Drosophila melanogaster: one gene and its partner. The protein of the gene in region 1 interacts with the protein of each later gene in a pairwise test. Each region holds a gene or a part of one and is shown in the gene's direction. Other genes may lie near its edges.

Region 1 (2,733 bases):
CACACATGCACCTGGGAAAAGGTGTGCTCCGGGTATGGCTTATGGGTTTTAGCTCCACTCCGCCGCTGCACTCGCATTCGTCCATTAAAATCCGCTACAGTGTGTCCAAAACACGGGCAGGACTCCTGCTGCACGGCCGGTCCGTTTATTTATTATTAACACCAAAAAGACCCCGAGGACGAATTGCAGTGCTCCTCCGGCACCGCCTCCGGCTCCAGCTCCAGCAACGGATCCTGGACCGAGACTTGGAATGCGCAAACTGCCCTTAGTAGCAGCCGCCTACTCATATTTCGTTGTCCTCATCGGACGAGACTCGGTACTGCAAAAATGAATCTGTTTGCGGTTCAAACACGTGCCGTGGCCAGAAATAATGTGCACCGGAATCTGCTCGGACTAATGGGCCCACAACACGGTATTTGACTTAGGCCCAGTCCAGCGTTTCCATCGGCATTGCAACCGATAAACCGCTTTGATGCTTTGTGGTCGGGAGACAAAAGAAGGCTTCAGAAACAAAAAGAGTATTTATATTTGATTATTGTTTGTTTATTATTTTTACAAAAATGTGAACTTGTTCAATTTGAGCGAAATACGCAGATATTTTTACTAACAATACAAACACACAATCTATTTATGCATTAAGTTTTTAAAGCGTGACTTAACTTCACTTAACGTGCAATACAACTTAATATTTCTAAATTTATTTAAAGAATATTTATTAGAACGTATCATTCCACATATAATATTTTTAATTGAATGAGAATAAAAGCTATGACTGATTTAGGAGCTTGGAAACGTATAAGTCCTTTTTGTCTACACCATGGTTAAGGTTACTAGTTGGCTTAAGCAGCCAGTTAAGTTAGCCCGACATAAAGCTGCGATTTTCATTGTAATCTGTTCCAGGCGAGCCGCTTGTCCAGGATCAGACCCAAATACTGCGCCTGTGGTGATTATGGAATGGTGTTCCCTTAAAAAAGAAACTGCTGTGGCCAATTTTAAGCTATTTATAAATAAGCAGTTACTTATAAAGAAAGCCATCAGGCAAACCACGGATGAAAGCTTCCTGAACGTCCAGGAAATCCTGTGGTGCCTAAAACCAAACTGGCGGTCGGAATTATCATCCTGTTCGCTTTTTACTCCATATCTCTACTAAGACATATTCCCTTAAATAATGTATAGAAAGTAATGGAAGCTTATCCGTCGTTATGACTCGCCAAGGTTCATTGATATAAAAAAATCTGGATACGTATTACGTAACGTTGAGTTACAAAGGAGAACAAGGAACAGGATCTCTTTTTAGGCAAGGCCTTGCCAATTCTGCTGTCAATGACAACGATAATCCATCCAAGTAAAGAGCATTAAAGAAGTTTAGTGTTTCTTTAACATCTGCGGGGATCCCTAGGTCAAATGGCTGAAAGCGCTCCGCAGGCTTTTCCGCAAAAGTTAAAGAAATCTTTAAGGAGAACTTGCAAAAAAATTTCTGTGAGATTTAGTTCTTTCAGACTCCGGGTAGATTTCAAAAGTCGAAAAAACACGCAAACAGTAATTGATTAACGAATAACGTTAATATTGCCCTAGGTATTTGCTACTTTTTATTTTGCAACTTTGAGGTCCTTTTTCTCAAAATTCTCTCATAATGGTGAAAAAAATCAAAAAATAATGTGTACTATAAGCTAAACAACTTTAGTTTTTCGCCAGAACACTCAGACTGTCATTGAATAATCTATCAGAGATTGTGTCAATAATCTGATTTTTTCCCGCCTATGTTCTATATTTAAATCGTTTGAATAGGTTACCCAACCACAACACATAAGTGAAGAAAGACAAAATCTTCTAAATTAGTTAAGCAATCTATGTAAGTATGTTAAACGGTGATAAATAGCAACTAAAGCTCTGCGTACATCTGCAGTCAAGATGTTTCGCACACTGTCCATTGAGCCGATTAGAATTGAGGAGCGCTCCAAAGATGAGGTCCGTGCTAATATATTAGTGTTCGCTGTCACCTGTGCCCTTATCCGCTTTATTCCGATAATAGTGAGGAAATTATCGTAGTCAAGACCAAGGATGCGATTGTGTACTTCCGTTTTGACTGAGATAAAGCCGAATATATATATTAAAAATATTTAAATATAAACTAATAACAATTAGGTGTTATATTAAAAATAAAAACAAAAAAATATGTCGCTAAAATTGAGATCATCGACTTGTAAATACATTTTTTTAGCAATAACAAATTTTTAACAGAATGTGTCCGAAAATATGCTTAGCATATTAAGTGAAATTGGTATAAGAAATAATAATAAAAAACAACAAAACATTTTCAGAAAATTTGCTCAGTTTGGGGGTGTTTCTATGGACGTGACGATCTTTTAAAGTGAACTTGGGGCGCCGCCACTTCAGTCTGCATGCTTAATCTCAACCGGATAGCCTTTGAAGTTACCGAAAATTCGGAGTTCATAAGAACAGGCGGTCATTTCTAGGTCGGATTGCCCAAATTAAAACAAGAGAGTATACCGATCTCAAGTCAAGTTCGTCTACTATCAGATATCAGTTACTCAGGTAGTGGAAGTGCTAACGCGAATTTCATCATTTTTCTGGGATATCGATATAGATATTGGGGAATAAAATGAGAAAAAAATTAAAAATTGCCTAAAAATGTGGGCGTGGCAGTTTTTGGCGTGTTTAGGCCGTTAGAGTGGGCGTGACAAACTGGGTCGACAAACTTGCGCTGCGTCC
Region 2 (3,605 bases), on another chromosome or scaffold:
AGCAAACAAAAAGCAAAAGCAATCTTTCCTTTGTGCCACGTCTCGAAAGTCTGAAGAGATCCTTGCCAGCACAGCCTATTTGCTGCTGTTTGCTCCTTTTGAGGACCTTTGCTTTTTCGAGGGTAAACGCTGCAGTGCCAGAGGTGGAGAACTTTGCAAGACTGAATAAAAGTCGGCCTAAAGTCTTATTGTTTTCTGGTTTTTATCTGAAAGCTGCTGCTGCTGCTGCCTCAGCTCTGTCATTCGAGGTCCTGTGAAGTTGGCGATTATTGTTGCAAACTTAGTTGACAACTTGCCTGCTCGTCCTGCCATCTGCACCGCCCACTTATCGCCACCACCGCCCACCCCAAGGCCATGCAGATGATGGGCCGCCAAGCGTAATAAGGCCGAAGCCCAGGGAAAGAGGAAGTCTAGTGAAAATAAACAGTCGGACAGCCAAGTTGGGCATAGTTGAGCTTCTCGGCATCTCAGCTTCGCAGTCTTGCAGTTTCCCAGTTTCCCACTCTCACAGTTTTTCAGTTTCCCAGTTCATAGTTTGCCTGTTGTCTCCCCATTGTCCTGGCCATTCTTTATTTTTCAGTCCTTCCACTCCGGCTCTATATTATTATTATGTCTTGGCCCGGACTGCACAAAGTTTTGCCATTCTCTAACGACTTTGAATTTTTAATAATACCCCGCTGGAGCTTAACAATTTTGCCATCGTTCGGTTGTAGCGGCTAAGCTTTGTTACCAATTTAATGCATTTCTTGGTTGACGGAAATTGAATATCCGTTAAGATATATTAACAATTTATGCCGCCCTGATTGCCGACCCCCAATGCGGGTGCGGAATGAGGAGATCTATGCCTTTTTTGCAGTAAAATTGAAAACGAAACGAAACGGAACCAAAGCACACAGATACTATACACGAACGAACGGTAGCTGTGGCAAGAGAGCAGTCATCATCAGGGCCATAATGAGCAAGTCAATAGCCGGGCGGGCCAGCAGCAAAGGGAAAAGTCGAGGGGAAAGCCAGGCAATCGATGACGGAGCAAGGAAAATGCCGGCTGCCAGCAGTCATGCAGCGACGTGCGATAAAAAGCAGATTGCAATTTGTTTTACTGATTTCCATGCTTTTGGCTTTATTTGCACGACGGAAACTTTCATTAACATCAAACAGAAACTGAAATTGAAGCAGTAATGGCATCGCCAGCACTCCAAAGGATACAGCCACGGGGAAAAGCTGGAAAAGCCGATCGAAATGCACTTAAATCATGGCAAGAATGAGATCTACGGCATGCTTAAGTGGCATTATATGTACATACATATGCGCATATACGAGAATGCCATTATTAAGTTGCATCCTTCATTTGCTCAATTTGGCCAGTTGACCAGCTGGCCATTTAATTGATACGGCAAAAGGTCAGGGTGATGGTAGACCCACTTGACACCTCACCAAATTCCAGAATTCTTTGGGCAAACATTTGAGCAACATAAATGCACAAGTCCTACCAACCAATTAGTTGGCAAATAATGGAGAGAAATGACTTTTCATCTCTCGACCGCAAACAAAGTCCTTTTGTATTCCACCCAGGACCTCCTGTTCTGAAATTTATGCACGGACTTGGGCCTGCAAGGATCTCGAGGAGTGGCGGACGACTCTTGTTTTGTGTTCCAAGTAATTTGAACAAATTTGCGAGACATTTTGTGGCCTCCGAGCAAATATTTCAGGCCAATGCTAACCACCCCATCATCATCATCATGGCTTGGGCAGGCCTTTTGCGGACAAAGGCCAATTAACTTAAATAATTAGCCAGAAGTTTTCGCCATCGGAGATGAATCTCAGCCTACGAGATGCTCAAGTAATTTCAATAAAATGTTATCATTCGGTTGCTGTCGAGTTGCCAGGGAAAATCCAATCAATTATCGCCCAAGGGAAGCAAATTCGTACAGAAAGTTAAAGGCCCAGGGAAATGGGAAACAAGCTGCGCCGCCAACCACAAAGAGTTGAAGTTGACGAGGAGGAGGTGAGATCCGACCGACCCCAGAAGAAGCCACCATCGTCATGGCCCTTCTGGCGCCTGGTCTACTGGCTGGGAGTCCTCATCATGGTCATCGGCATCGGTGTGGGCATGTACTTCACCCTCAAGTCGGACTTCGGTGAGTGCTCCTCCTACGACGTCCGTTGCGATTGAGTGCTCCTGGCGATATAGAAACTTCCACGGAAATGGCGGAATTCATTACCCATTGAACTTCAACTAATTTGAAGCAGCTTGGCCTGCGAAAGCAATTGTTCTACATTTAGCGAGAGTAAGTATGCCAGCAGATATTAAAGAAAACTATTTAAAATTATTTCCCAAATTAGATTTAATTAAAACTTATACACCAGTTATGTTTTCTTGTCGAAACATCAGTTTGATCTTTTTACTTTTTATCATCGCAGTCTACATTTGCCTGTTTGTTTTATATATACTCCACAGAGTTGGTGAAGATAATTAATATTGGGTTTGTAATATTATTTTTCATTTGCCTTGCAGTATAAACCAGCTTATCTTTTCGCAGATTCATATGTAAAGTTATTCATTTGTCTGTTCTCCTGTTTGAATTGTGATATGCTAAGCTTGGTTATATCACTATCAACTTACGTGCAGTCCAATACTTGTCATACATGAATTCTAGCAGCTGGATCTTAATTAAAGCCGGATGAAACAACCCACCCCACACTAGACCGCCTCCTTTATTGTTAACAATTACAAAAGCAAGGCCGAAGCCGCGCAATCTCCAGCAACACATGCAGATACATTTGTGCATGTAGACGTGTGTATTTGTGATGCTATTCAAACTTATTGGAGCGCTTCCTTTTGATGGCGTTCTGGTTGACTCTTCAATGGCGAAACACTTTTTAGTTGAATGAAGCTAGTGAATGCACATATTTTGGGTTGCATATAAAAAATCCTACGATTATTCACTGGCCCTATTTATTTTGGTGTTAATTAACGAAGTGGAGAATGGCATTCATTGATAAAAGTGTACAACGATTTTTATTTCACATATTTATGCTATTGCTGTAATTAAAATAACAATTTGAATTAAAACTCTAATTTTAATAAATAAACTAAAATTGCACACTTATGACGACACATTTTATTTAAATTACCAGCTTAGGAAGTTGATTGCTTCTACTAAACGAGACAAAAGTTATTTATTTCGGTGCGTTGGGGGTTTATCTTAAAACGACTTCTTATGAGAGGGGCCATCAGTCAAGGTCAAGCTTAACAAAGATTTGTCGGCAATTCGAGCTTTTATTTCTTTGACACTTGCCAGACTTCTTTCGTTCGCACACAGCAGGTGAAATATAAATAAACTTTTTAATGAACTTTAAGATTTATTGCCAGCAGCAGCCGCAGCAAGTCAAGTCTGACACTTTGTGGCTTTAAATTTTCGGACGGGAATGTGCTGTTTAGATAAATTATACAGCACAATATATCCCGAAGGCACTGGCTGGCTGACTGAATATTTTGAATGTGAAGAGCACCCTGCCCTGAACTAAATATTCTGCAAATAATTGCACTCGACATCGACTGAATAGACCTAGCCCACAAATAATATCTTAATGCTTGCTCTGTA

What was found. The genes of interacting proteins can lie anywhere in the genome.
Region 2: the proteins of CG34173 (region 1) and CG17580 interact in a two-hybrid assay, tested with the Drosophila melanogaster proteins (one large-scale study listed by BioGRID).

Annotation. Positions count from the first base shown.
Region 1 is NT_033779.5:22,053,291-22,056,023, reverse strand, and holds CG34173 (uncharacterized protein), read left to right. Parts: upstream 1-1,721; 5' UTR 1,722-1,852; intron 1,853-1,906; 5' UTR 1,907-1,911; coding exon 1,912-2,049; 3' UTR 2,050-2,190; downstream 2,191-2,733.
Region 2 is NT_033778.4:12,804,747-12,808,351, forward strand, and holds CG17580 (uncharacterized protein), read left to right. Parts: upstream 1-1,867; 5' UTR 1,868-1,951; coding exon 1,952-2,173; 3' UTR 2,174-2,288; intron 2,289-2,343; 3' UTR 2,344-2,483; intron 2,484-2,540; 3' UTR 2,541-3,065; downstream 3,066-3,605.